7 linked regions of the Canis lupus familiaris genome follow. The protein of the gene in region 7 interacts with the protein of the main gene of each other region in a pairwise test. Links are inferred from orthologs where the notes say so. Each region holds a gene or a part of one and is shown on either strand. Other genes may lie near its edges.

Region 1 (4,391 bases), on a different chromosome or scaffold from region 7:
CACTCACTTCTCTCTGGAACCCCAAAGCCACCCGCTGTGCCTCTTCAGGCTTCCTGCCCCAACATCCTCTTCCCTGGAAGGCTGTATGTGCTTTCAACCTGATGACCCTGCTCCCATAGATTCTAGGCTGGAGCCTCAGTCTGACTCTCCCACCAGGAGGGCTGGGTTTGGCACGGCTCAGAGGAAGGGAAGAAATGGGGCGGCCCAGGGGAGGGGGAGCTGAAGGGGCAGGGAGGAAGGACCCAGAGCCCGAGGGTGAAGAGTGAGCAGCCTGGGCACACCCTGGGAGACACACCCAGGGACAGCACTTGATTTGGGACAGAACCCTTGGGCTTGGAAATGAATGGAAAATGAGGGCTACAACAAGAAGGAAGGGTGTGCATAGAGGAGGAAGGGTAGTGGCAGGAATTAACAAGAAAGAATAGAGGAAGACAAGAATACAGGGCTATAAAAAAGAAAGGAGGCCAGAGAGAGCTGAGGCTTCTGAGAAGTCTGAGGGCTGCTCCCTACCTGTTTGTGGTGCCTTTCGGGGGACCCCTTGACAAGGCAGCTGCGGCTGAGGCGGAGGTAGCCCCCCAGAACCAAGATCTCCTCCGCAGTCGGGTACCGCTTCTTCCCAACTCCAGGAACTGCAACATCAGCCGCGGCTGGGGTGGCGGGAGTGCTGGGGGCTGCTGGGGGCACAGACCGCCGGGGGTTGACTGTGAAGGTGTGTCCACTGCGGCGAGGGGTCCCCACCCCTGGCCCTGCCTTCACCCCATAGAACAGACGGTTCATGAGGGGATCCCCAGGGGACTGGGGAGCAGGTGGGGCTGGGGGTAGGGGAAACAGAGGGGCTGTTGGTGGGGGCCGGAGATCCACCGCTTCCTCTTCCTGCCTCGTAGAGCCTTTAGTCCCAGCGTCCTCTGGTGGGAAGGGGGAGGGCACAGAGCTACAGTTCTGCAGGGTTCTCAGAGGCCTGCTCAGAGCCCCTGCCTTCTCCTTCTCAGCCTCCCCTTCTCCAGCCTCTGTACCAAGAGGCCCCAGATACTTCTCAGCAGCCTCTGGGGGTTTCTGAGGTTGAGTCTCTGTGTCCCTGGGTGTCCGTTCTCGAACCTTTCCAGAGTTCAGGGTCCATTTCCAGCCTTCTGTCAGCCTCAGGCCCCTCTCACTATCCTCCACAGGGCCGGGCCTTTGCTCTGCTGCCTCCACCTCTCCAGAGCTGCTCTCTGGAGCCTCCCTTGTCAGGGTCTCTGACACCTTTGTAATCTCTTCTGAGGCCAGTGTTGGAATTGGTCTCTCTTCTTTTCTCCTACATTCCTCCAAACAGTCTTTTCTTTCTTCTTCTGAGCTGGGCCTCCACCCTGATGCCTCCCGTTGTACCAAACTCTGTTCCTGAGACTCTCCAGAGTCGGGCCTCCATTTATGGGACTCTGACAGCTCCAACTTCTGGTTGTCAGATTCTGCGGGGCTCAGTCTACTTTCCACCACCTCTTTTCTCCTGGGGCTTTGTTCTGCAGGCTCTGCCAGTCTCAGACTCCACTCTGGAGTTTCTCCAGGGCTCAGCCTCCATTTCCGTGCCTCTGACAGTCTAGAGCTCCTGTCTCCAGACTCTCCTGGGCTCTGCCTCCAGTCCCAAGCCTCTGAAGTTCTGGGGCTCAACTCTCGGGCTCCCCCTATCCCCAACTTCCTCTCTCTGGCCTCCCTGGGACTGAGCCGCTCTTCTTTTGAGTCTCTTCCCTTGGGGCTCTGATCTCGAATTTCCCCAGGACTGGGTCTCCTCTCCCGGGCCTCCAAAGGCCCAGGCCTTCTCTCTGCAAGTAACTCTTCATTGCGCTGCTGCTGCTGCTGCTGCTGGCGCTCCTGCCGAATGAATCGGTTCTGGTGCACCGGCCCAATGGCTTCTAGGAGGACAGCCGACTCATCTGGGTCTGGAGGTCCAGCCTCTGTAGTCCCAGGGGCAGGGCTAGGTTCTCCAGGAGACAGACCAAGCTTGGCCCGGCGGCGCTCCAGGATTCCCCGCTTCCAGGCTGGCATCTGGGACAGACGATCCCGCTCAGCCTTCTCCCGGCCACGAAGGGCCGCCTCCTCCTGCCGCCGTCGGGCCAGCAGCTGTAGCTTCCAGTCCGGGATGGTAGCCATGGTCGCGCGGAGGTAGGGGTGGGAAGTGCTGGGCTAGAGAACAGGAAAGAGAGGCTCCAGAGGTCCTGGGGGTAGGGGGAGGGGAAGCAGAGGGGCAGAGGAGGGACACCGAGATGGGCCCAGGCCCGGGAGGGGAAGAGTGAGAAGATGGAGGGCAAAGTAACGGGGAAACAGAAAGTGAAAAAGCAGTGGGCCCGGCGGAGGTGGCGTCGCGGCCCTGAGAGGAAGAATAGAGATTCAGGGCGAGGAGACAGCAGTCAGAATTGGCAGCGCGGGGTTCATGGTATCGGGGAGGCCCGAGGATGTGAGCGGAGAGAAGGGCGGAAAAGGAGTCGTAACGAGGGAGGCGAGAGCCCGGAGCGGCCGGGGAGCGGGGGCGGGGGCGGCGCGAGGAGGAGGACCAGGCCGGGTTTCCCCACCGCCGCCCCAGAGGCGGGGGGCGGGGGGGGCGGGGAGGGGTCCGGGAGTCCCGCCGGGAGGGAGCCGGGACTGGAGCGGCGTCGGGGAGCCGGGAGGAGCCGGCGTCCGGGGAGGCAGCGGGGCGCGGGGCGCGGGTGCGCCCACCCCGGGGCTCCCGGAACCCCGGCGCCCGCCCCCGCCCCTCCTGCGGCAGCCCCCGGCCCGGGCCGCGCCCCGGCTCCGCGCCCCGGCTCTGCCGCCAGGCCCGGCTCCCGGCTCAGCGGCCCCGCGGAGCCCGCCGTCCCCCCGGCTCGGGGCGCACCGACAGGCAACCGCGGCTCGACGGGAGGAGCCCGAGGTCCGCGCCGGGGCGGGCGGCGCGAGACACCCCCGCCCCGAGGCCGCAGCCCCGCAGCCGACTCACACGCGCGGGGCTCCCACGGGAGGGGTGCGGAGGAGCAGGCGTCCGAGGGAGGAGGAGTGGGACCGAGGGAGAGCCGGAGACGCGGGCGGGGAGGCGGGAGGGTGACCGCGACCCGGGGCCGGGCGGGGGGCGGCGACCGCTTTGTCTGAGGACAATGGGGAGGGAAGGGGGCGCGGGCGGGGCGGCGCGGGGCGGGGCGGGGCGGGGCGGGGCCGGCTCCCGAGCCCGCGCGTGGGCCCCGCCTCCCCGGCTCCCCTTCTCGCGCCCGAGCCCCGGCCCGGCCCGGCCCTCCTGCCGCGAGCCCCGGAGAACGCAGGTGTCCAGGCCCTGGCCCCCGCCCCGCCCGCCCCGCCCGCCGCGCCCGCCGCGACTCAGGCCCCTCGAGGGACTCGCAGAGGAAGCAGCCGCTGCCCCGGCCGGGCCCGCCCCTCCCCAGGCGGTGGCCTCTCCCGGCCAGCCTGCGTCACTGCGGGGTCCCGGGCGGCCACCCGGAGACGTACTCGGAAGCCCACGGCTTTGGTAACTGGCCCCCACGACAGCCGCTGCCCAGTCTTTAGCTTCAGCCCGCGTCCCATGGGTCCCGGTCCACGGCGGGGGAACTGGGGACTTGGAGGAAGGGGGCTGGGCCTCGGGGGTGTGCCCGAGGGGCCGCCGCCCAGCGGTCGCCAGAGGGCGCGGTGGCCGTCCGGACTCGACTTCGGCGTGCCTGGGCTCTGCTGGCCTTCCTTCCAAAGTCAGCCCTCTAGTTAGAGACACACTGATGGACTGCATGCCATATGTAGAAAAAACGGGCTGAATTTTATTTTTCCGCCGCAGACGTTCCTCGGGAGGGCAGAGATCTCTTAGTCACCAACATGAAGGGCGGGAGGATCCTCTCAGGTTAGAGGACAGAGCCCAGGGCCAGCGCCTAAGGAGGGGCAAGGCCTAAGGAGGGGCTAGGTGAGTCAGCAGAGCTGGCATTACCATCAAACCTGCAGACCCTGATCCTACTCCTAGGAAGGGAAGCCTGAGGGGGAGAAGGGGATCCCTGAGGTGTAGAAGGGAGCAACAGTGGGAGGGAAGTGGGCAGGCCCACCCTTCTTCCTTAGAAGGACTGTTCTTAAGGTGGGGTGGAGGTGGGTCAAGGCCTAAACTGTGAGGAAATACTGAAGTTCCCCACCCTTCCTCCGTGGTTTGGTGAGAAGTAGATCTTGGGGTCCAGTGGTTGAAATTCAGGATTAGGGTATGGAGCTGGGCCCAAGGAGTGGAGGCTCAAACAGGGGAAGGGATGGCCCCTTCAGTCCATAGATTTGGGCCTCTGGTCTGAAGCAGCCAGAGCCCAGATGTTAAAGGGCTTGGGACCAGGTTAGCTCCTCACTCGGCCTCACCTTCCTGGGGCCGGGAGAGCAAGTGCAGTTTTCTTTGTAACTGGGCCCGGAGGTAGCGGAGGTCTTGCTGGTCAAGCCCA
Region 2 (4,514 bases), on a different chromosome or scaffold from region 7:
GCCGTGCTTGCTGGCCTTGCACTTCTCTGCTAATCTGTGGTCATAAGTCTGTCGTAGAATGACTCATTCTAAAGAAATGAGCAAGAGGGACCAACGGCGTGGAAAAGAATAAGCCGTATGGAAATGACCCCAGATTACGGCAGGTAGAAGGGGGTGTTAAATGAGACTTCTCTTGACTCAGGGTTTTGCCCAGGGCCCCAAAGTTGAGCATAGGGCTGAGTGTCCTCTGGTTCTAAAGAGACACAGTGTACCATCCGTACAGGCTAGGTGGAGAGCCCGAAACTACTTCTGCGTCCTGTGGTTCCTCACCCCCCTTCAGCTCGTGTATAGGAGAAGGCAAGAGTGGGAGAGGGCTGTTAGAATTCTAGAAGTTTATCTTATTACTAGATGGTTAAAAAAGCCAGCCTAATCTAATATGGAAACTTCAATCAGTCATCCAATTCAAAGCTCTGGCTCCCTCTCAGTTCAGGTGTGACCTGTAACTCTGTGGAAGAGCAAAGGGAACGTTATGTGGATTAAGTTCTTCACTCTCCTATTGCACACTTTCTGCACTATTTTCTGGTTTCTCCAGGGTAAGGGCAGCAGGAGGAAGGGATGGTAATACAGGTCTGTTTAGAGTCAAATGTCCACCTTTGTCTTCACATGACCTTCACTCAACTCCAGTGTCTTGTCTTCTCTTACAAGGATTGTCTCTCGTTGGATTTGGGGCCCAACCCAGTGATCCAGGATGGTCTCATCTTCAGATCCTTAATTATATTTACAAAGCCCCCCCCCCCCCATTTTTTCCCAAGTAAAGTTGTCTGGATAGGTTTGGGGGAGGCAGATTTAGGAAGTGGCTGTATCTATCTTGGGGGCCGGGGCACCATTCAACCCACAACACTCATCAAATTGTTTCATTGAACCTGAAAGTGACCGGGAAAGCTGCGCGGTTTGCTCAAGCTCCAGCCCTGGAGCAGCCAAGGGGCAGGAGAGCCAACAGAGCAGCGGTGAGAAAAAATGAGTTTCTTGTTATACCCTATGGAGCGTCCCTGCTCGACCAATTAGATTCATTGGTGTCTCACTTAGTTGTGATAGAAACCATCGTGCGGCAGTAATAGCCGTTTGAAACTAAAGCCCCGAGTTTTACCGTCGCTTTGATTTTATCGGACCGTTGCAGGGAGAGGATGTGTCCGGATGAGCGGTGCCACGGCCACCTGGTGAATGTTCAGTACTTCCTTACCAAGGGACGCGGGCTAGGGCTGCAATACATACTTGTTAATTAATTACTGCATGAAATCAATCGCATCCGGCCACCGTTTTGTCAACCTTTCAGCTGAGCACTGCCTTGACTGAAAGCACAAAGCGTACGCCGTGGAGTTAGTTCAACACACTTCGCAGCTGAAAAACGCTCCTGGGGGCAGCTGCCTTCAACTCAGGAGGCCCCGGGGCCACGTCGCCCGCCACGCCCGGGGCCGCCCCACAGCGAGCGGCGGCGCGGGCTTGACGGCCGCCGGTCCCTCTGCGCAGACGCCACGTACCCAGCACGCATGCGCCCGGCCTGCGGTCTCCAGCCGCCGGCCTCGGATTGGTGGAGCCTCGGTGGCCCCGCCCCGCGTGCCGGAAGCTCTGTCCCGGCGCCGACGTCTCCGGAGATTCCCGGGCGTGTGCGCTTCTCGGTGAGCGACGCTCTAGGTTGTCGCGTGTGTGTGCCCGGCGGCGCTCGGGGACGCGCACCCCTGTTCGGGGACGCTCACCGCTGCTCCGGGAGGGCGCGGGGGGCCGCGGTGCGTCCCGGGGCGGGCGGGCCCTGTAGCGCCCTCGCGCCTCTTCTCGGGCTGACGTCGCTGGGGTGGGCGGATCCCCGGGGGCCGCCGCCGCCTCCGAGCTGGCGGCCCGCGCCCCTCTCCCGAACCCGAGCCCCCGCGGGCCCTTGCGCTGCTCCCTTCCGCCCTCTGCACCTGTGCCGGGGGGCGTCCTAACACGAAGGGACACTAGCGCAGTGTTGCGTGGCTGTTCGGAAACCGCGGCGCCCCGACCCAGCGTTTGGCATCGGTTCTCTCCCTGGGGGAAGGGGCTCCCCTGTGTAGCTGCAGAGCTGTGCGTGGGTTATGACTAGAAACAAAATTTCTCTTTGATCGCTCGTGTCCCCCGGGGATTAAGCCAGATGTGTGCAGATGTGTGCAGCGTGCCCATATTAGTTAATATTAACAAGCTTTTCTATGCATTCAGTCCACAGATATGTAGGGCCTGCACCTGCCCGCCCGGCATAGACTCATTTTCATGTATATTCAGAAGCTGGGGCAATAGGTGTGCACGTAAGCGTTATCTGTATTAGCATATGCTCTAGAACTGTGTTGTCCCATAGGTAACCACGAGCTACATGGAGCACTTGAAATGTTCCTGGTCCTAATTGAGATGCGTCAGAGTGTCAAACAGCGAATTTGGGGGAAATAAGTATGAAAAAGAGAATGTAAAATATCAACAATTTGTTTTTATTAATTACATGTTGAAGTGGCAGTATTTTGGATACACTGGTTAGGTAACATGCTGTAACCTTCACTTGTTTATTTTTTTAACGTGGGTACTAGAAAATTTTAAATTTTATCTGTGGCTTGCATTGTATTTCTGTTGGATAGCACTGCTTTAAAAGGGCTCAGCAAACTGTGGCCTACAGCCAAATCCAGCCTACCTGTCTTTGAAAAACATTGGAGCAAAGCCATACTCATTCTTTTATGTGTCGTCTATGGCTGCTGTTCCTGCTACCAGAGCAGCAGACTTGAGTAGTCCATACAGAGACTGGATGGCCTGCACAGCTTACAGTATTTACTATCTGGCCTTTTCCAGAAGAAGTTCGCCAACAAACAACAAAGTTCTGTACAACAGTGCCTGCCATGGAGATCCATGTCACGTGAATCTTTTAATTATAGTCCTGTGTAATTGTCATGTAGGCTTACTGTGTGACAGGCATGGCTCTAAGGACTTTATAAGGACTATCTCATTTATTTCCCATATTAAGCCTAAGATGCGGAATTTCCCCAGTTTTGTAGATGAAGAAACTGAGGCACAGAATCATCAAGAAACTTACGGAACATGCTCAACGCCCCTCGGCTTCTGTGAACTCTAGCTTCTTGACCCTTCTTATCCCCACAAGCTTGATCTCTGCAGTCCACTCAACCCACAGTGGGCACCATGGTGCTGCTGCTGCTACTGCTGCTACTCCTTTTTGTTTTGTCTTTTACATAACTTTTCGAACTAGAATTGAGATGAGGTTGGCTCATGTGGAAGAAGCTGAGGGGCAGTGAGCTTAGGTGCAGTGGGTACGAGCAAGCTGGTCTGTAGTGGAAAGAATGAAGTGTACAGGGGCGCCTGGGTGGCTCAGTCAGTTAGGCATCTGCCTTTGGCTCAGGTCATGCTCTTGAGGTCCTGGGATCCAGCCACGCGTCAGGCTCCCTGCTCAGGGGTGTGTCTGCTTCTCCCTCTGCCTCTGCCCCTCCCCTCTGGTTGTGCTCCACCCCAAATAAATAAAAAATCTTGAAAAAAAAAAAAGAATGGGGCGTACAAGCAGAGAGGAGAGGAAGCATTCTGGATCCTCTTTTCTCATTTAATAAGAATTTGTTGAGTAATAGTAAGAACTGGCCAGGTGTCTGCTGGGCGTGTCTCCGTGAATGAAACAGACATCATTCTCTTATGGTCTTGTGGGGAAAGCAGACAATAAAAAACATTTTAGGGACGCCTGGGTGGCTCAGTGGTTGAGTGTCTGCCTTCGGCTCAGGGCATGATCCTGGGGTCCTGGGATCGAGTCCTGCATCGGTCTCCACGCAGGGAGCCTGCTTCTCCCTCTGCCTGTGTCTCTGGGTCGCTCTCTGTGTGTCTCTTGTGATTAAGGAGAATCTTTAAAAAAATAATTTTAATGTAGTCTGCACAGTGAAAAGCCATCACAAATATTTGATTTTTTTAAAGACGTTTTTAAATTTAAAAAAATTTTTATGATTTTTTTTTTTAACAGGCTTCCTCATCTGGAAGATGGAGATAAGCCACATACCTGACTTGGGGTCATCGCAAGGATGGAGATGACATAAATGTGTGTGGCACGTACAGTTCAATAAATGTACATTGCCTTCTGCTGTTAAGAGGTAAGGGAGGGAATAAGTCCGGGGAACTGGGTGCATCGTGACGCTTAAGACATTGCAACCACCAGTTATAATTGTAGAGAAGAGTCTCAGGTGAGCTGTGCACAGGAGGTGTTTTTAATATTTCCTAATGGGGCTCAGTCAGCAAAATCCAAAAGCAGGGAAGTTCTATACATTCACTGGAGGAGCAGGTCAGGAGCTGTCTTTGGGCTGATGGCAGTGTAACTGAGTCGGTCCTGTAGCAGGAGGGCCTTGTGCTAGTATGTGTATAGAGCAGTGGCAGCAGCTCTGCTTTAAATCAGAGTCACTTGGGCAGCTGAGAAAATAGCCAGGCCTACCCTCAGGGATTCCCATCCATTCTTTCTGGGACAAGGCCCTGGCATTGTTTTTGTTTTTGCTGTTTAA
Region 3 (3,824 bases), on a different chromosome or scaffold from region 7:
CTATGTGTGTCTCTATGAATAAATACATAAAAATCTTTTTTAAAAAAAGAGAACTTCCTTGACGACCACATCCAAGATGGCATCTCATTAATCTTAAACCCTTTGCTCTATTTTCCTTCATATCTCTGTTACTACTGGACTGCATACTGTACATTTATTGGTTTTCTTGTTTATTGTGTGTCTCCCTCTCTAGAATGTAAACCCCAGAAGGGCAGAAATACCGTCCATTTATATTATTGCTGGACCTTCCCATGGCACCTGAAAAGGTGCCTATCACATAATAGTGGCTCAAAAATTAACTTGTGGACAAAACAAATTCATGAGTATACTACATGGGAGCAATGGATTTCCTTCACCCAACAGAACTTTCTGCAATGATGGAGATGTTGTATATCTATGCTGTCCAATGTGATGGCTATTGGATACTTAAAATGGGACTTCTATGACAAAGGAATTGAGTTAATTTAATTTTTTATTGATTTCAATTAAGTAGCTACATGTGGTCAGTACCCACCATACTAGAGTAGATCTAGATCCTTAGATGGGGTATGGGGGCATGTACATGTCATTTCATGTACATCCCAGTAGAGTGTAGAGACTTCCCAGGGTGCTGTGTTAAGAAGGAGCCTAAAGTCCAATAAAAAATCTTTTTTGAGCACTTTCGGTGTACCCAGCACTGTGTCATCATCAGGATATCACACAAGGGTGCAGTGATTGATTAATGTATTCTGTCCTGGGCAAGGAGGTGAAGACGTTATGATGTGGTATATTTACCATACCTGACCTCAGTTGTTCCAGAGCTAGTCAGAGGTCCTCCCTGATTCCTCCCAGGGAGTGATTGCTGGAATGTACACCTAGTGTTGTACAAAACTCCCGCTGACTTCCCCCATCCCTGCTCTTTCTGCTGTCCCTATTCTCCACTGAGTTCCCTGAATCTAGTCTTCAAAACTAAAGTAGAATGTTCTTTGCTGGAATCCTTTTGAGGGATGATCAAATTCCCTTTCACACACACACTCCTGCAAAATTTGACAACTCTCAATTATATTTCTGCTTATTTGGTGAGAACATTGCATGTGTTTACCTTATGGTCCATACTGAAAAGCTGCTTAGCAGAGCCGTATTTTCCCTTTTACATGTATCTGCTAGGTTATGCGTGTGGATAATACATATCCCCCTTCTAGTATATGAATTCACAAGCATGGGGAAAGGCATTCTGCCCCTGAAATTTCTCACTGAAGACTAACATCCTTTAATGACAAATGGGATCTTTTATTCCTGCAAAGGAAAACAGAGCCTATACACCAAGTACACCTTGGATAAGGCAGATTTTTTTTTTTTTGGCATAAGGCACTTTTTAATTAAAACTCTCCCTGTGTTTCACATGAGTAGGAGAAGGCCCTTTCCTAGGAGCAGTGGGTATAATTGGTGCCCCAACCATATCCCTTCATCACGTATTGTTTCTGTCTGCCATCACTGCTTTCCTTTGTCTAAAGCAGTAGTTTTCAGCCAAGAGCAATTTTGCCCATATTCTGGGAATATTTAGCAACATCTCAAGAAACATTTTTGGTCATAACTGGCAAAGTGGCTGCTACTGGCATCTAGTAGGTAGAATCTAGTGATGCTGCTAAACATCCTGCAACACACAGGACAGTTGGCCACATCAGAGAATTATCTAGCCCCCAAAATCAGTGGTGCCAATGCTGAGAAATTCTGGTCTAAAAGGTTTCTCTATCTGCTGGAGGCTAGTCAGCCCAGGATAAGGCAAATCAGGAGTGCCAGGAAATTAATATTCATGGAAGCAGATGTTAAACAGTGTTTTGAAGGGATCTGGTGCATAAATACTCCATCTTTTGGCCCCTCAGATGGGACAACTTCAAGGTATATGCTTAATATAGTCTCCCAGGGTACAGAGTTAGCTGGTGGGATTAGATTACAATTGCTTCATTGGTAACTTGCTGTGGCATATTGGGGCTTACCAAAAAGATGACCAGTAGGGGGTGTGTTTGTGTACACAGAGAGAGTCTCTCTATGGATGACATCAGTCTTTTCATGTAAAGCCTTCATCTGATTAGATGCAGCCCACCCACTTCATGGAGAGCAATCTGCTTTGCTCAAAATCTACTGATTTAAATGTTAAGCACATCTTTAAAAAATACCTTCCCAGAATATTGTTGACCAAACAACCAGATACCATAGCCTAGCCAAGTTAACACATAAAATTAACCATCATACTCTATGACTTGCCCTTTATTGATGTTCCCCTTCCTTGTCTCACCTCATAACTCCTGGGATCACCTCCCACCAGTTGCATTTAAATTCAGGTCTCATCGTCTGCTTCTGGGGATTTGAGTAAAGAAAAGGGAAGAAATAGACTAAATAGGGAGGTTGTAGGGTAGGTAAAGGATGGAAGCAGGAGCCATCTGGGACCTCACAAGGTAAGCATCACCCACAACTATGTTGTGTATGGTCCTCTTCATTCAGGCCAGCTATAGGTTGATTCAATTGGCTCGCTGACTGCAGCATTCAGATCTAGCATGTGATATTTCTCCATCTGTGTCTGTCTTCCCAGGTGGATTATGATCGAGCACAGATGGTCCTCAGCCCTCCGCTGTCAGGGTCTGACACCTACCCCAGGGGCCCCGCCAAACTACCTCAAAGTCAAAGCAAAGCGGGCTATTCCTCAAGCAGCCACCAGTACCCATCTGGGTACCACAAAGCCACCCTGTACCACCACCCCTCCCTGCAGACCAGTTCACAGTACATCTCTACAGCTTCTTACCTGAGCTCTCTGAGTATCTCATCCAGCACCTACCCCCCACCCAGCTGGGGATCCTCTTCAGACCAGCAGCCCTCCAGGGTGTCCCATGAACAGTTTCGGGCTGCTTTGCAGTTGGTGGTCAGCCCAGGAGACCCCAGGGAATACTTGGACAACTTTATCAAAATCGGAGAAGGGTCAACCGGCATTGTATGCATTGCAACTGAGAAACACACAGGGAAACAAGTCGCAGTGAAGAAGATGGACCTCCGAAAGCAACAGAGACGAGAACTGCTTTTTAATGAGGTAGATGGTGTGTTCGGATCACTCTTTCTCTCCCAAGTAACATGTATTTCCCTATTTCAAAAATATTACATGTACAGCTCAGAACATCAGAAAGCACTGACAATAGAAATACAAAAATAATGTTCCCATAATCCTTCCTTCTGGACTTGGTCTGTATGTGTACAGCTGCTACTTTTATAAAGTACTTCATACAAATCAACCACTGTGCTAAGCTCTGATCTGGCTTGATTCACACAACAAACCTGTGAGACAGACATTATCAAGCCCAGGGTCATACACCAGGTTGATGGCAGAGCTGGGATTTGAATTCTAGCAGATTCCAGAGCCTTATGCTACACTATCTACATGGGTATATATACATTTTGTTACATGGTTGTGATACCATGTATACCCTCTGTAGCCATTATTTTTAATCTCAATAAACAGAAGTTGGTTTACCAATGGATTATCACTCTTTAGGAACTTTAAGATACATTTTCTAACTATAGGAATAATGAATTCTTCCTGTGGAAAATATGGAAGATAGAGAAAATATCCCAAAATCTCACAACCGAAAAATAGCCTACATTAATATTTCAGGAGTTTCCTTCTATATTTTTTTCTCTTTAGAAAAAGTAATATGTAATACTGGCTTCCAGAAAGTTTGTAACAGTAAAGACCCTCACTGATAGACCTGTATCATCCTCACTAGCACTGGATACTGTCATGTTATCTCTGTTAATCTGATAGACATGAACAAATCTTCCTGCTTTAATTAACACTA
Region 4 (3,824 bases), on a different chromosome or scaffold from region 7:
TGTCTCACATTTAGGTCTTTAATCCATTTTGAATTTAATTTTGTGGATGGTGTAAGAAAACGGTCCAGTTTCATTCTTCTGTATATGGCTGTCCAGTTTTCCCAACACCATTCGTTGAAGGGACTGTGTTTTTTCCATTGGCTATTCTCTCCTGCTTTGTTGAATATTAGTTGACCACAGAGTTGTGGGGAGCACTGTTTTCTAAAATGTTTGTAGTTCTTTCATGTGCTATATCTTTATCTTTCAAAAGACATTAGAATATTGTCTAATATTGACCTTGTAAATTATTTTTCATGTCTGGAAAACAGAAGACATGAATTTTTAGTTTTATGTGTATGTGTTTCTCAAAATTGCAAGTAAAAATGTTTACCTTTGAGTTCATTTCTTAATTTACTTTTTAAAATTTATTTTTAAATTTATTTTATTTTTTTTAATTTCTTAATTTAATGTGATATTAAATGACACCATTGATATATTTTCTAATTTTTATTTCTGGAACAATTTATTCCAAGTTTCTCCCTTTCCAGTTATGGTCCTTTATTAAGCGTAAGTTTCAAAACATTCTTGATTATCTAACATGTAAAGTTTTTTAATTTGAATGCTTTTTGTAATTCATGAAAATTAGAAATAATATTTAAAAGCTTATATACAACATAGATTTTATTTATTTTTTATTTGGTTAACTCAGTGCTTTTTCAGCCAGGATTGTGCAGTGAGCTCACCTGTGGAGTTAAAAAAAAAACCCAGCTCAGGCTTCTAAGCCTATTGGAATAGGTATTTCCTAGGTTAGAGTCTGGGCATCTATATTTTTAAAAACTTTGTAGCTGATTCTTGTCTACACATCGTCTCAAAATAACATTTGGATTTCTCTTTTTTTCTATGTATCTCTGTGTTAAGTAGTATTTAAAGCAGTTGTCAGGGGTACGTGGCTATCTCAGTAGATCATGGAACTCTTGACCTCAGGGTTTTAAGTTTGAGCCCCACTTTGGGTGTAGACATTACTTAAAAATAAAATCTTAAAAAAAAATAAAGCAGTGGGGATATATTTGTTATCAGTTTTTTTAGTCCTAAAAAGATTTCCAGCCTTTATTGTTCAATTTCTTTTATGTAAAATTAAAGGACTCCGTGGAAGATATCTTTACACTGTGTATCTCTGAGAACAGTTTTATTTTTGGCCTCAAATTCATAGCATATATTGATAATCAATTTTGGAAATAGCTTATCACTTTCCTATAGAAATGAATACTTTATTAGATGAATTGTAAATGACCTTTTTACTTAATTACCAGTATTTCATATATAAAGCTTGGTCAGTCAGAAAAGATTCTGGGCTTTTATATTTTAAAATTTGTCATGTTCCAGTGATTGAGGTTCAGTTTGAAGACATTAATTTTTTGTTTATTAGAGCATCATTCGTTGCGATGAAGATGAAGCTCACGTTGCGTCTGTATATTGCACTGTATGTGCAACTCATTTGTGCTCAGAGTGTTCTCAAGTTACTCATTCTACAAAGACATTAGCAAAACACAGACGAGTACCTCTAGCTGATAAACCTCATGAGAAAACCATGTGCTCTCAGCATCAGGTACATGCCATTGAGTTTGTTTGCTTGGAAGAAGGCTGTCAAACTAGCCCACTTATGTGCTGTGTCTGCAAAGAATATGGAAAACACCAAGGTCACAAGGTATGAATATAATTAGACTGGATGACTCTATCTAGTTTACCAGCCTACCATTTGTTTCCATTGATCTGGTTCTTTATGCCAAGTAGGGATTGAAGAAGAGTTCAGTGATGAATGAATTGAGTTTGGTAGCGTGAAAAGAAATGAAAGATTTAATTTCTGAATGTCATAACAAAAATTTCAGAGAGGCTTTATGATTTTTTATTCACTAAAGAATAGCTTTCCAGAAGGAAACAAAATTTCTATGTGTGCATGTTTTTATAATGTACTGGATTGTGTTGATAATATTTATGTCTGTTGATGAACTGATGTTTATGGTAAAATTATAAAGTGAGTCTCTTGGATTCTTTTTTTTTTAAAGGGAGGGAGGGAAGGAGAGGGAGAGGGTGGATGGGTAGGGAGAGAGAATATCTTTTTTAATATTTATTTATTTTAGAGAAAGAAAGGGAACATGGTGGGGGGAGGGACTGAGGAAGAGGGGGAGAGAAACTTTAGCAGACTGTGCTGAGCACAGAGCCAGATGTGGCGCTCCATCCATGACCCTGAGATCACAACCTGAAATGCAACCAAGAGTCAGAGGCTTAACCCACTCTGCTACCCGGGCACCCCGAGAGAGAGAATCTTAAGTGGGTTTCATGCCCAGTATGGAGCCTGATGGGGGCAAGGATATGGGGCTGGAACTCACAAACCTGAGATCTCACAAACCTGAGCTGAAACCTAGAGTTGGATGCTTAACCAACTGAGCCACGCAGGTGCCCCATCTTGGACTGTTATTTAACAATAAATGGATTCCCAAATTCTAAATTATTTCTTTGAAGGATAAATAGTTTTGGGGTGAAGGTAAATTAGTATTTGTTATCTTGTGCTTTTTATATATGTGTTATAAAAGCCATTTGTGGTTGATGCTTCTCTCTCTTTTTTTTTTTTATCATTGGAGTGATTTAAATAGCATTTTATGTCATTAGTCATTACTGTGAGTTCTTTTCTATAATTTTGTTGCACTTTAGCATTCAGTATTGGAACCAGAAGCTAACCAGATCCGAGCATCAATTTTAGATATGGCTCATTGCATACGGACCTTCACTGAGGAAATTTCAGATTATTCCAGAAAATTAGTTGGAATCGTTCAGCACATTGAAGGAGGAGAACAAATAGTAGAAGATGGAATTGGAATGGCTCACACAGAACATGTAAGGACTTTTTTTCTTCTTTCTTTATATTTTTACCCTTTTTACCTCTAACCTTTTATTTTTATTGAGCAATTACATTGTGCTAGTACTGCACTAGTCACTGAAAATAAGTTTTTTAAAAAGTCTCAGTCTTCATGGAATTTATAGTCTGTTGTAGAAAAAAGTTTCAAGTGTGGCAACTTTTTTTTGTAACTGAAGTATAGGATGCCTTGGCAATGCATAAGAAGAACATTAATTTGCTGAGTCAGGGAAGGCTTCCTAGAATACAGGGTACCAAACTGAGACTTGAAGAATATGTAGTCAGTGAGAAAAGTAGGGTGGGAGTGAGTTGTCCCACTGAGGAAAGAGTATGTTAAATGCCTGGAAGTGAGAATTCGACGTAGTATTGAAACAACTCCGTTCAGTCCACTTGGAACTTTGAGTATTGGATGGGGCCTGGCGAGAAAAATTGTTAAGAGAGTGAAGGGCCAAATCACGTAGGATCTTGTTAGCCACATTAAAGAGTTTAGACTTTATAACAAGGGTAGTGATGAGTAGTTGAAAAATTAGCATAGGAATAAAATAATCAGATTTGTATTAAGAAAGGTAGCTCTTCAATGTAGAAAATGAATTGGAAGCAGGGAGACCTATTAACAGGAGGCTGCTGAAATTATCTGATTGAGAAATGTTTATGGCCTTTAATACTACAGTAGTGAGAATGGAGAGAAGTAGATGGGCATGAGATTTTAAAGTAGTGGAATAGGTAGGTCTTAGTGATTGATAATATTGATTGTATAAATAACTTGAAGGGTCTGGCATGTTGCCTAGATTTTTATCTTGCTCAGGTTAGTGGATGGTGATTTCATGCACTAGTGGGGGAGGAGGAAGAATTTGGAGAGGGGTAATAGGGCCAAGGTAATAATTTAATTAAGGTATTGAATTTCTTAGATCTGTGAAATAATGGGGATGATACC
Region 5 (3,805 bases), on a different chromosome or scaffold from region 7:
CAGGTGAGCTGTGAGTGCCACACTGAGAGGTAGGCTTTATCCTACAGTAAAAAAGGACTTGGAGGTTTTGACTTAGAGAAGTTACATGAAAATGCTGTTGGAGGAAGTTGGGAGTCCTGTTCTTATAGCAGAAGTTCATTGCCTAAGCGTGGTTTCTTTTGAGAACTCGTCCTAAATAAAACGATTGCTAATATACCGTGTTTTATAATTGTTTAGGATGAAGTCAGATTCTTTCCTGCAGGAAATGCCACGTGTAACGAACATGCCTCGCGGAGACCACATGATCAGCGATGGCCAGGGCATTCTTGCAATCAACTCGGAAAAGCAAACGCAGGAACACGGAAAGAATCTAAGCTGCACCGATGTACCCCTGAGCGGGGCTAGGAAAAAGGGTGAACTGGGTACGACCGATCTGCAGAGAAATGAAGCTCCACCGCTTCCTCCTCCGAGAAGCACATCCCGAAACTTTCCCAGCTCCTGTGCAGAACGAGCTCCTGGGAGTCTGAAGGGAGGTTTAGGCCGCAGCAGCCTGGTGGCCCCGGAGGGTCACGGTGGAAGGGGCCGTGGTCCTGACATCCTTCGGAGGCCCCGGGCGGCGCCTGGGCTGGGAGCAAATGAAGGGCAGGCCCTGCAAGGTGGCATCGTGTTTCCTTCTCTGGCGCCCAAAGCCAAGATAGAGGACAAGCCTGCATGTGAGGACCGTGTTGGGCTGGGCGGCTGGCGTGGTGGCGGTGGGGTCGCCGCACAGAATGGTCCCTCTGCATCCTGCTGTCCCGAGAGCTGGGAGGCGCTGGCCCCAGGTGGCCCGGCCGCCTCTCGCCCCGACGACCTTGGCTCCGCGGCCACCGAGGGCAGTGGCCCGCTTCGGGGTCTCCGCTGTGGCTTCAGGACCACCAGGAATGAGAAGCTGGCCGCCAAGACCGATGAATTTAACCGAATCGTGTTTAGAACGGATCGGAACTGCCGGGCAGCGCAGCCCCCGCCGAGCCACCGGCCACCCCCCGGGGGGCCCGGACCCACCGCCCCGGGGGCCGCGGGGGGTGACGAGGCGTCCGGGGGTCGGCCCGCCGGTGCCCAGGGGCCCGTGCCCGGGGCGCAGGTGCCCGACCGCCCCGGCCCCCGCCCCGGCCCCGGCCCCGGCCCCCGCCGCCCGCTGCTCCCGCGCGCCTGGGGGCCCCGCAGCCTGGCCGGCCGCCCGCGCTCCGCCGACCCCCGCTCCAACTACGGCGTCGTGGAAAGGCTGCTCCGAGGCCACGGGGCTGCCGCTCCGGCCGCCTCGCCGGGTCCCCAGGGCCTCCGGGAGGAGACGGAGGGAGACGGAGGCCACCCCACGGGCCGGTGGGCCGCAGGCGGCACTGAGGTCAGGGGCGGGACCACGGTAGGGCGGGGGCCGGGGATGCGGGGGGCGGGGGGGTAGGGGCCGGTGGGGGGAGATGCCTGGGCCGGGGATGCGGGGATGTGGAGGGGGATGCCTGGGGCGGGGATGCGGGGGGAGGGATGCCTGGGGCGGGAATGCCCGAGGGGGGTAGAGGGATGCCGGGGGTGGGGGGGGGGGGAGGATGCCAAGTGCGGGGATGCCCAGGGCGGGAATGCCCGGGGAGGGGGAGGGGGATGCCCGGGGGTAGGATGCTCAGGCGGAGATGCCTGGGGGAGCGGGGATGCCTGGCGAGGGTGATGCCCGGGGCGGGGATGCCCGGGGTGCGGATGCGGATGGGGGGGGGGGTGCCCGGGGCGGGGGTGCGGGGCAGGGATGAGGGGCGGGGGCGGGATGTAGATGCCAGGGGCGGGGATGCCTCAGACGGACGGGGAGGCGGGGGACAGGGATGCGGGGGATGCGGGGGTGGGGACGCGAGGATCCCTGGGGGGGATGCCCGGGGCGGGGATGCCCGGGGCGGGGATGCCTGGGGGGTCGGGGATGCCGGGGGTGGGGGGGGGGATTGGTGGGTTGCCCGGGCAGGGATGCCTGGAGGAACGGGGATGACGGGTGCGGGGATGCTTGGAGCCGGGATGCGGGCGGAGGGGCGGTGCCGGGTGTGGGGATGCCCGGGGGGGGAATGCCTCAGGGGGGGAATGCCTGGGGCGGGGATGCCCAGGGTGGGGATGCCCGGGGAGAGGATGCCTTGGCGGGGATGCCTGGGGGGCTGGGGGGGGCGAGGATGCCGGGGGGGTGGGGATGCGGACGGGGTGGGGGGTGCCGGGTGCGGGGATGCCCAGGGGGGAATACCTGGGGGGGGCGGGGATGCCTGGGGCGGGGGAAGCTGCGGGGATGCCTCGGCGGGGATGCCTGGGGGGGGGGGGCGGTGCCTGGGGCGGGGATGCCCGGGGTGGGGGGGAATGCCTGGGGTGGGGATTCCCAGGGCGGGGCTGCCTCGGGTGCAGCAGGTGCTCGGGCCCAGGCCAGCCCCGCGGGCCGCCGGCCAGGGGGATGAGGAGCACCTGCCCAAAGCCCTCGGAACTGCCGGCCGCCGCCCAGGGGCTAGCCCAGCGCCCTCCAGACGTTCTTAACTTCTTGACCCTTTATTTGTGATTAAGTATAGACCTTAGGACTCTAACACCCCATCAATTCTTAAAATCACCATCAAATTCTTAAAGTCTTCTTTTAAGACTGGGAATAGGACATGATAACTTTTTTAAGGATTCTGAAATGGGACGATGTAAATAAATGGACTCGGGAACTTCCAGGTCAGATGTCTGTTGTAAGTTTCTCTCTGGAAGAAAATGTTCCAAACAAACAAAAACCATTCCAAATGAGCGTTATTGGTCTATAGCATCCTATTCTTTTGGTGCTTATACTTTTATTTTTTTAAGATTTTATTTATTTATCCATGAAAGACACAGAGAGAGAGGCAGAGACACAGGCAGAGGGAGAAGTAGGCCCCATGCAGGGAGCCAGACGTGGGACTTGATCCCAGGTCTCCAGGGTCAGGCCCTGGGCTGCAGGCGGCGCTAAACCCCTGAACCACCCTGGCTGCCCTGTTTTTAAAGAGTGTTGGAAACCTTAAAAATAACTTCTTGCACTTTTCAGTTGTTGGCTACGATTGGTTCAGTCATTCCTGGCATCTGATTCGTGTTCTTTCTCGTGGGGATTAGTCACACATATGTGACTGTAGGTCTAACACATCATAAAATAATGCCTCATAAAGTTCTCTTATTTGTGGAGCAGAAAGGCAGCACATGGGAATAAAATGATATTATAGCTTAAAATTTTTTAAGGCCATTCTTGTGTGAATTCTTAGCCTGAAAATTGCCCTCCCCAAAAGTAAGTATTCATTTTTTGTTGTTCTTTTTTTGGTCTGGTCTGTTTGCAAAAGAATACAATCTTCATTTGTTATAGGAGAAAAAGATGTCGAAGAGATTGATGTTTGCAATAAAGAACCACCCAATGATCCCTTTTAATGCATAATTTACAAAACGTTGCATGGTGACATATTATCACAATTAACTAATACGTCGAAAAATCCTACTGTTGCAAAATGCAGTGTGTATGCAGCATAGTTTTAAGCTGTGCGGGTTGCCTCCTTCTGATGTAAAAAAAAATATCGTGGCTTTCAAACCGCATAAAAATACCAGTTTTATCCATTTCACTAGAAACTTTGCCTTTTTGCACAGGGTACAAATAATTACCCTGGTTTTGTATTTTTCTGTATTTTAGTTGAGTCCATGAATACTTAGGAGGCCGTATCGCTTCAGATGGCAAGTGGAAACATGTATAAAATAACCAGCTAAATATTCATGAGCTACATTTTTGCTTTGTTTGGAGGTTTAGGAGGGGTCTTCTATTATAGATTCTTACGAATGGTTCTTC
Region 6 (4,518 bases), on a different chromosome or scaffold from region 7:
TTTATCTATTTTATTTTTTAGATTCCACGTGAGTGAGATCATATGGTATTTGTCTTTCTCAGACTTACTTCACTTAGCTTAACACCCTCTAGGTCCTTCCATGTTGCGGCAAATGGCAAAAACCTCATCCTTTTCATGGCTGCATTAATATTCCACTGAACACATATTTAGCATCTTCCTTATCCATTCTTCTATTGATGGACACTTAGGCTGCTTCCCTATCTAATCATCAGGAAAACGCCCATCAAAACCACAATGAGGTATCCCCTCACACCTGTCAGAATGGCTAAAATAAAAGACAACAAACAAGTGTTGGTGAGGATGTGGAGAGAAAGGAAGCCTCACATACCACTGGTGTAAACGCACACTGGTACAGCCACTGTGGAAAACAGTAGTAGGGAGGATCCTCAAAAAATTAAAAATAGAACTACCTTACGATCCAGTAATTTCACTAGCGAGTATTTACGCAAAGAAAACCAGAACACTAATTTGACACTTACGTTTATTCCAGCATTGTTTACAACAGCCAAGATATGGAAGCTGTTTTGTTTCTGGATGCCCACTGCACTGCTGGGCTCCAGGCTCAGCTCTTCACACACATGCTGCGCTGCTCAGAATGCCCCTCACGGCGGGTCCACGGGCTCTACTCTCCCTCACTGCCTGACCATGCTCAAATGGTTTCTGAGTAAGGCAAAGCTCACGGCCAGACCTTAGTGCTGTAACTAAGGTAAGGGCCATGAGCATCAGGGGAGCTGCAGGAGGAGGCTGGAACACACAGGCAGCCAAGTGATCAAGCAGGCACTTACACTGTATCATAAAGTGCTTCTAGAACCTCCTACACTTGCCCAGTTGAAGCAAGGTGGGTTTAATTTACAGCCTCTTGAGAGAGGCTACGGTCCAGGGAGAATGAAGAATTTTGAGAGCCACAATGAATGCAGAAGAAAATGCTACAGAAAGCTAGCTATTTCGACTGGCCATACCACTGCTAAGGCATAATATAAACCTCCAGGAAACTAACTCTCAGAGAAACGTAATTTGTGTTTGCCAGAGATCAAAGTAATCCAAGAAAGAATAAGGCTCTCCCCGGCAATTCCAAGAGTAGGGTGTCAATGGAAACCCGCTATAGGAGCACAGGGACACGACTGTCTCGTGGTAACCACACGTTCCTGCACGGCACTGCGGTGTGGACGGTGGCTGTGCAGGACCACCTCTCCCCTCCCAGCCACATGGGAGCACTCTGAATACAGCCTGGACACAGGCTGCAAGCCCTGAGGTTACAAAGGAAATAGATCTGATCATGTGAGGCCCTCTTTATTAAAAAAAAAAAAAAAAAACTATTATAGAAAGGGCTTAAACAGTAAAAGTGATCTAGGTAGCCTCATTGGTTCTTAAAACATGAAGCAAAACACTTATAAAATAAAATGCTCGACAATTAACTGCTATCACCAATCTCAGACCATATTCAAATAAAAGAATATCTGAACCAAGATCCAGGCTTCCAGAAGACCGTGCCTTCCATGAAAGGAAGCATCTGTACCTGTTTCCCTGATTCCAGTGAGTCAAAACTATCACAGCTCTCCTCTGATGAGAGGGTTTCCATGGGAACATCATCTCGGAAACCGACAAACTCTTCATCATCACTGGGGGCGTTAAAGATGTCAGCCACTTCTTTAGGGATCTGTTTTGGATTCAAAAAAGAAGAAGGATAAGACCGAGGGCTGTTATAATCACTTAGGGAAATTTTCTAGAAAGGAGGAGGGATTAGCATCTACTAGCTCTATCAATCTACTAGGTCGCAGATCTGCCATGGTCACCAAGAAGACCCCAGTTACCCCGGAGCAAAATGTGCTTCAGCTGATCCCTCATGGCAACAAAAGAAGGTAGGGGAGGGAAAGATTAGACTGTTTTTCAAACTCTAGAGATATATCCTATCTTACAGAGAATGTCAAGGCCATATCTAGATGGAAACCCTATGTGATCTCTACACAAAAAATAAAGGAACAGTCATCATTTGTGAGAAAACAACTATTTTTCTCCTGCAGTGGATCTGTCTTTAAATGTCATCCATGTCGGGATCCCTGGGTGGCGCAGCGGTTTGGCGCCTGCCTTTGGCCCAGGGCACGATCCTGGAGACCCGGGATCGAATCCCACGTTGGGCTCCCGGTGCATGGAGCCTGCTTCTCCCTCTGCCTGTGTCTCTGCCTCTCTCTCTCTATCATAAATAAATAAAAATTAAAAAAAAGAAAATCTTTAAATGTCATCCATGTCAAAATAAGATGATACTAATAAGCTCCTCTTTTCCTCATTTCCACCTATTGGTCTTTGATTTTTTTGCTCTTTGTCATCTGCTGATTCAGACATGAAAACTCATACATTGAAATAAGTAGCTTTGTTGCTCCTTTTTTTCCTCTCAATCAAGTAGTTTCAAAATTAATTTCAAGAGAATGTAAACACTACTGTAGGCAAGTATTCCAAGAAGGAATGTTATCAGCGCTCTTAATCTAACAAGTATGTATGTATTAGTTCAGAATTCATTTTCATATGCTGACTACCTATTTGTTCCCAACTCTCTATTTTGAACAAGTTCAAAACCATAGAAAGCGGGCAGCCCTGGTGGCGCAGCAGTTTAGTGCCGCCTGCAGCCTAGGGCATGATCCTAGAGACCCTGGATCAAGTCCCACGTTAGGCTCTCTGCATGGTGCCTGCTTCTCCCTCTGCCTGTGTCTCTGCCTCTCTCTCTCTCTCTCTCTCTCTCTCTCTGTGTCTCTATGAACAAATAAAAAATCTTAAAAAAAAAAAAAAAACATGGAAAGCTGAAGGAATAGGACAACCATCTACATATTCTTTACCTGGAGTCCCCATGTGTCACCACCTTTGCTTTCTCTGTCAACAAACATTAAGTGGAACCATCAGCATTTGCTAGTATTTCACAGTTTTTGACCTAAAGAAATAGCCATTTATTTAGTACGAGCCAGCTTATTCCACCTATATTTAAATTGCAGACATCATACTAATTCACCCTCAAATACTTCAGCACACATCGCCTGAAAATAAAAACATTCCCCATTCCCCTTAGATCCGTAAAACTACAATCATACCTAAAATAATTCACATTAATTCAATAGTATCATTCAATACAAGCTCATATTTAAATGTCTACAACTGTCCCAAAATGTCTTTTTTAACTTTAAGGGGGCTAAAGGGACCCATTCAAGCAAAGATCATGCATTTTATTTTTTTTATGACACTGTTTTTTGCTGCTTTTCGTAACACTGATATTACTTAAATAACCCAAGACTACTGCCTTGTTGAATGTCATACGTTCTGAGTTTATCTCATTGGTCACTGATATACTTTACTGAAATATTTTTGGCAACAATTCTATACAGATGACATGCACTTCTCAATGCAATGCATAAGGAGGCACAAAATAACAAGTTATCCCCTAGTAGTGTTTTTTAACGTAATTATGAAATTTTTCAAACATAATCCCAAGTAGGTAGAACAGCATAGTGAACACACACAGGGACCAGCTATCAAGCAGTCCTGCGCCCATGGCTAGTCTTGCTCCAGCTGTATCCCTATCCAACTGCCCTCCTTCCAAATTATTCTGAAGCAACTGAAGATAATAGCATTTCACCCTGTGTCATCAGGAAATACATAGTCTGTCTTCACAGTTCCGTCAACCTATTTTTTTTTTTTTAAACTCACGGTTTATTTGTATCATGATTTGAATAAGGTCCATACATTGATCAACAGAAAAGTCTTTTCTTATGGATCCTTTTTTTTTTTTTCCTTTGGCAACTTATTTTTTTAAAAAACTGGGTCCTTTCACTGTGAGGTTTGCGAGAGTCTGGAAGGTTGGGGTTTTTGTTTGTTTTTTGCAGCTGCAAGATGGTATTTAGTAGACTCCAACATCTCCTGGGATTTCCTGTGATTCGGTATTTAGAGTTACAGGCTGTCAGATTCAAGTTCACTTCTTTCTGGCAAGATGACTACTTCATAGGTAGTGCTGCATTCTTTACTCAGAAAGCACCTAATGTCTGGCCATCTCTGGTCTTCAGTGGTGATGCTCTCTGATCAAGTTACGGCAGGATGTGTCATATTTCTCCTTAGCAAAAAGACCTTTTCCTCTTTGTATTTAGTAAGAAATAAGTAGGGTGATAGTTGACCTTCTGGGATTATCCTTCCCTGGTTAATTGGTGATTAACCAATTCACTGAGTGGTTTCAGCATCCACTGATAGATAACTCTTATTTGAATCAATTACCACACATTAGCGATTGTACAATGGTCGTTTTCAAATTCTATTCGTTCTTCATGTATTAGCTGGCATTCTTCTCCAACACAATATTCTCTCTTTTGCTGTCTCTCCCTCCCTCTGCTTCTCTCGCTCCCATGTAGATTTATGGAATTTTAATTTACCGTGCTATATAATCCATCACTGTCACTGCTCTTTCTGATGTTCAAATTGTTCTAACTTTGGCCATTGGGAGCTCCTTCATGCCAGCTGCTATGT
Region 7 (4,319 bases):
TGTGGGGAGGGCCATGTAATCCCTCTCCCCTAGCTACACCCTCGCCCACTGGGTTGCACACTCCAGGCTCTGGTGCTTCCTTCTTGCTGACCCACGTGTGCCTCGGGGCCTTTGCACTGCTGTCCCCTCTGCCTGGCCTTCGTCCATGTCTGTAAGGCTTGTTCCCTTATCCCAATCATGTCTGCTCAGTGTTTGGCTGTTCAGAGATGCTCTCTCTGCCTGTTCTCTTGGGGCAGTACCACTGTCAATGTCTGTCTTGCTAGCACTGTCTCTTCTACACCCGACATGGTTTACATGCGTGTCTGCCATAAACGTGAGCCCTTAAGGGCGGTGATATGATTTGGTTTTTGCTGCCGGGTCCTCAGTGCCCAGAGAGCAGGCATCAAGTAGGCCCTCAGTACGGATTAGTTGAGTTCATGGTGCAGAGATCCCATGTGGGGGAAGATGTCTGGTCTACAGAGGTGGGAGCCAGCTCCTGCGAGTGTAGTGGGGCTGCGCCCTGAGAGGGTCCACAGAGGGGATGCTGGGGGTGGGGGTGGGGGCATCAGAAGCCCACCCAGGCTCTAGGGCCTGCCCTCAGCATGGCCCCCTGCATGGACTGCAGGTGGGCAGCCAGACCCGGTTCTGCGCCCTCGGAGGAGGCCTAATGCCACCTTTGGTTCCTATCCTACAGCACCATCTCTGGGGTCTGGCTGGGGTCAGGGTGTCCCCACCATCTGGGCATCTCTGTGTTCCAGGAGGCGGGAGCCATGCTGGACCCCAGTGAGCCCACCTGCCTGTGGAGCCCAGCTCCAACCCTCCCGGAGGAAGCAGCCTAAAGCAGTTGGAGGCTGGGGGAGGCTTCGCCGTGTGACCGTGAAGCCACTGGGGCTTGGCTAGTCCTCCAGCACAAATCGGAAGGAATGTTTGAAGGAATAAAGTGAATGGCTTATTTTTTTATTAAAAGGCAAGCCCCAGATTCTTGTTGCCTTAAGAGACTGGGCAGAGGGTTGGGGCTCCCCTGACCGTGCCAGGACCCGGATGGCTGGGCCCTGAGGTCTGAGGAACCCCCTGAGCTCCGGGCCACCGTGTAGGACGTGGGGAGTGCCCTTTGCACAGAACACGCTTGTGGCTCAAGCCCCAGGGCCTGCCAAGAGCTACCAGGCAGCTGCTGCCTTGGTGGGGCCACAGGGAATGGGGTGGACCTGCCTCACTGCCTTCCTGACCACACCGCCGACCCAGGCAGGCATCTGGAACCAGCGGCTGCCCGCCTGCCCACAAGTCACGCAGCGGCCCCAGGCCGGCATTGCCTTCCTCCTGAGCAGCTGCTTCTTGGTGGGAGGCCAAGCCCCAGCACCCTTGGTGCTCTGAGGGACGCGGTGCACAGCCTTGGCTTTGGTGTGCAGCCTTTTGAGGTGCTTGGTTCTAGAGGCTTCATGCCTGTGCTCTCCAGGTGTGAGCATGCCCTGGGGTGCTGTACCCACCCACCAGGGGGCTGACCCACCACCGTGCAGCCTCATGCACAAGCTCTTAGCTTTTCAGTTTGCACCTGGGGCTTTTTCAGCTCGTTTCTGCTTTCCTTGGGGGCTCCTTTAGACCTATGGCTAGTTAGAGGTCTCTTATTTTATTTTCAAACGTTTAGGGATTCTCCAGTTAGCCTTTTGTTATTGATTTCTGGCTTTTGATACAGAGAACAGAACATTTCTGTCATTGAATTCTTACCAACACCCCCGTGGGGGAGACACCCTTTATTAATTTGCTTTTGCAGAGCAGGGAAACACTGCTGGTCATAGCTCCTGGAGGGCCCAGGACTGGCTGTTCTGGAAGCGCGATGGCAGCCTCCATCCACCCAGGGTCAGAGGTCCGAGAGCCTACAGGCGGGGAGCCTGTCAGGCAAGAGGCAGCTGCCATGGGAAGGTGGGGCTGGGAGCCCTGCTCAGGACCATCCTGGCCTTTCCCTAGCAATTGCCTCAGCCTGGCAGCCAACAACTTGGACCAACCGGCCCAGCTGCGCCAGTGAGGCCTTGGCCTGGGGGTTTCCTGGCAGACCCTGGTCTGGAGGCCTGCTATCCTGGCTATTGGGTGCAGCTCTGATGGCAGAAACAGCCCTTCTGAAACTGGTTTGCGGGGCCATGATGAGTGGCCTGGGAGCCTGCTGTCACAGTCCCGAGTGTCCTAGTAAAGAGGTTGCTAAGTGGAGACACTCCCAGGAAGGGATAGGGTGTGCAGTGTAGCAGGGGCCGGTGGCCATGTGGGGCAAGCACGGACAGGCCACAGTGGGGTCTCCAGCCACATGCCTTCTGGACGCTACACCAGCCCTCATGTGATCAAGGCCCGGCTGGCCTACTGTGTGTGTGGGCATCTGGCTGAAATCCCAGAGTTAGGCCTGAAGCCCTGGGATCTCCTGCACTTTGCAGAGGGCCCACGCTGCAGGTTCCCAGCCAGCCCCTGGTGGAGAAGCCTCCAGAAGCCTGCGTTCAGGCCAGAGCGGACTAGACAGTGCATTGGCCTCATCCAGCTCCGGGGAGGGTCCTTGCTCACACTTCCACTTAGTGGATGCCAGGGGTGGGCCTCCAGGCCTCTGAGCAGGACTTCCACTTCCCTCTGCCCCGCCTCTTGGGCCCTGCCAGGCGGGCGAATCAGAAGGCAGGCCCAAGGACCCACTCCCTCTGGGAGGACCTTCCCGGCTCTGTGGAGCTGAGCAGCACCATCAGGAAGTGCACAGCTTTTCCTCCTGAGCTCCACTGGGCTGCCAGCAGCACCTCCTGTTCATCGGATCAGGCCAGCCTGGGCTGACCAGTGTCCACTGCACAGGTGCCTCTCGAGGACCCTGAGGTAGGCTGGTTGGCTGCCCTCTCAGGGTGGCCAGGAAGACACCCATCTCTCTGCTCAGGGCTCCTGGGGCACATACCCCAGAAGAGCACCCAGGGCCTCCACTCCTGCCCTGTCCTTCACAGCCACCTGAGACCTGCTTGTTCAGCTCGGTGGAATTAGAGGCAGGGGTCAGGTGTGGGACCTGTGGATGTAGGTGGGAAAGGCAGGAAGCGGGCTGAACGTTCCAAGGGCCATCCACTGAGTTGCTGGTGTCTCTCTGGCTGGATGGTGTGGCCAAGGGCTGCAGGAAGTTCAGGAAGCTCCTCCAGAGGCCCTGCCTGCTGCCGTCTGTCTCTGGGAGTATGGCCTAGCTCCTCTGGGTGGCAAACCTCCGCCCACAGTTCCTACGCTGGCTGAGGGCAGTCTGAGGTGGCAAGTCAGGGTCTCTGTCCCCACCACTGGGAGGAGGCTCCTGGTTTGGCCCAGGCCTCGAGCGTGGTCTGTGCCCGCCAGTGGAAGGGAGCAGCAGTGGGTAGTCCCAACACGGATGGCCCTGGTCAGGGAGCTGGCACCCTGCGTGCCCAGGAACAGGGAGAGGAGCCCAGAGGTGGCTGGTGCCTGGTCCCTAGGAGTCTGCAGAGGGCACAGGAGCGGCGTGGGTGCTGGCCATGCCAATGCAGCTGGGCCCCTCCTGGTGCAGCGGTCCACAGCTGCCCTTCCTGAGCCAGCCGGTGCCTGGGCCACTGTTGCACCACCAGCCAGCCGCCGGAAAGAGAGGAGGCGGTGGGGCTAGGCCCTGAGCAGGAGCCATGTCCAAGAAGGAGGAAGTCCTACAGCAGCACAGGCTGGCGTGTACGTGGGCAGGTCAATGCCCCAGGCGTGCCTCCCCAGCCTGGGCGCCTACCTCCCTGTACCTGCCAGGGAGGCCCTGCCAGTGGGTACGAGGTGGTGGTCTGCCAGACTCACGCTTTAGGGATGGGGGTGCAGAGGCCAGAACAAGGCCACAGTGGGGGGGGGGGTATTCTCAGATGCCGCCAGTCCCTGAAGCGCCTCCACATCTTCCCTCACACTTATCAGGGTGACTTGGACAGAGAAAGCCTAGGTCACCTGCTGAGGGAGTGGCTGCAGGGTCTAGAGAAGGCCGGGAGGGCTGCCCTGGCTGAGCTGGTGCCCCGGTCAGAGCACCAGCGCAGAGGAGGGAGGGCCAGGGCGGGTGAGGCTTCACACCTACCTGTCCTGGACTCCCCTGGGCCCAGCATGCAACTGTCCCTGCCAGCTGCTCTCCCACCAATCGCAGCGGTGGCCGCCACCATGTCAGACTATGAGAACGAAGACCAGTGCTGGAGTACCCTGGAGAGCTTCCGAGTGAAGCTCATCTCCGTCATCGACCCCTCGCGCATCACGCCCTACCTGAGGCAATGCAAGGTGCTGAACCCCGATGATGAGGAGCAGGTGCTCAGTGACCCCAACCTGGTCATCCGCAAGCGGAAAGTGGGTCAGTGCTGCCTCAGCCGGGAGCTTTGAGC

Evidence for each region.
Region 1: the proteins of CARD9 (region 7) and PPP1R18 interact in binary tests that used the Homo sapiens proteins (3 or more experiments, as listed by UniProt). The two-hybrid records come from large-scale screens. The link is inferred for Canis lupus familiaris from reciprocal best matches to the Homo sapiens genes CARD9 and PPP1R18.
Region 2: the proteins of CARD9 (region 7) and TCEANC interact in binary tests that used the Homo sapiens proteins (3 or more experiments, as listed by UniProt). The two-hybrid records come from large-scale screens. The link is inferred for Canis lupus familiaris from reciprocal best matches to the Homo sapiens genes CARD9 and TCEANC.
Region 3: the proteins of CARD9 (region 7) and PAK5 interact in binary tests that used the Homo sapiens proteins (3 or more experiments, as listed by UniProt). The two-hybrid records come from large-scale screens. The link is inferred for Canis lupus familiaris from reciprocal best matches to the Homo sapiens genes CARD9 and PAK5.
Region 4: the proteins of CARD9 (region 7) and TRIM23 interact in binary tests that used the Homo sapiens proteins (3 or more experiments, as listed by UniProt). The two-hybrid records come from large-scale screens. The link is inferred for Canis lupus familiaris from reciprocal best matches to the Homo sapiens genes CARD9 and TRIM23.
Region 5: the proteins of CARD9 (region 7) and KIAA0408 interact in a two-hybrid assay, tested with the Homo sapiens proteins (2 studies listed by BioGRID and IntAct). The two-hybrid records come from large-scale screens. The link is inferred for Canis lupus familiaris from reciprocal best matches to the Homo sapiens genes CARD9 and KIAA0408.
Region 6: the proteins of CARD9 (region 7) and CDCA7L interact in binary tests that used the Homo sapiens proteins (3 or more experiments, as listed by UniProt). The link is inferred for Canis lupus familiaris from reciprocal best matches to the Homo sapiens genes CARD9 and CDCA7L.

What each region holds. Positions count from the first base shown.
Region 1 is NC_049233.1:625,156-629,546, forward strand, and holds the start of PPP1R18 (phostensin), read right to left. Parts: upstream 3,079-4,391; 5' UTR 2,945-3,078; intron 2,155-2,944; 5' UTR 2,122-2,154; coding exon 511-2,121; intron 1-510. Other genes in the region: NRM (nurim), read right to left, coding at 3,820-3,851, 4,312-4,391.
Region 2 is NC_049260.1:10,112,787-10,117,300, forward strand, and holds the start of TCEANC (transcription elongation factor A N-terminal and central domain-containing protein), read left to right. Parts: upstream 1-1,552; 5' UTR 1,553-1,655; intron 1,656-3,984; exon of another isoform or gene 3,985-3,985; 5' UTR 3,986-4,112; intron 4,113-4,514.
Region 3 is NC_049245.1:13,105,052-13,108,875, forward strand, and holds part of PAK5 (serine/threonine-protein kinase PAK 5), read left to right. Parts: intron 1-2,569; coding exon 2,570-3,061; intron 3,062-3,824.
Region 4 is NC_049223.1:50,579,232-50,583,055, reverse strand, and holds part of TRIM23 (E3 ubiquitin-protein ligase TRIM23), read left to right. Parts: intron 1-1,405; coding exon 1,406-1,684; intron 1,685-2,688; coding exon 2,689-2,871; intron 2,872-3,824.
Region 5 is NC_049222.1:66,692,913-66,696,717, reverse strand, and holds part of KIAA0408 (uncharacterized protein KIAA0408 homolog), read left to right. Parts: intron 1-216; coding exon 217-1,099; intron 1,100-1,171; coding exon 1,172-1,360; intron 1,361-3,805.
Region 6 is NC_049235.1:35,878,737-35,883,254, forward strand, and holds the start of CDCA7L (cell division cycle-associated 7-like protein), read right to left. Parts: upstream 2,942-4,518; 5' UTR 2,898-2,941; coding exon 2,850-2,897; intron 1,679-2,849; coding exon 1,538-1,678; intron 1-1,537. UniProt on the Homo sapiens protein: Plays a role in transcriptional regulation as a repressor that inhibits monoamine oxidase A (MAOA) activity and gene expression by binding to the promoter.
Region 7 is NC_049230.1:49,108,816-49,113,134, forward strand, and holds the start of CARD9 (caspase recruitment domain-containing protein 9), read left to right. Parts: upstream 1-1,354; 5' UTR 1,355-2,814; intron 2,815-4,049; 5' UTR 4,050-4,050; coding exon 4,051-4,288; intron 4,289-4,319. UniProt on the Homo sapiens protein: Adapter protein that plays a key role in innate immune response against fungi by forming signaling complexes downstream of C-type lectin receptors.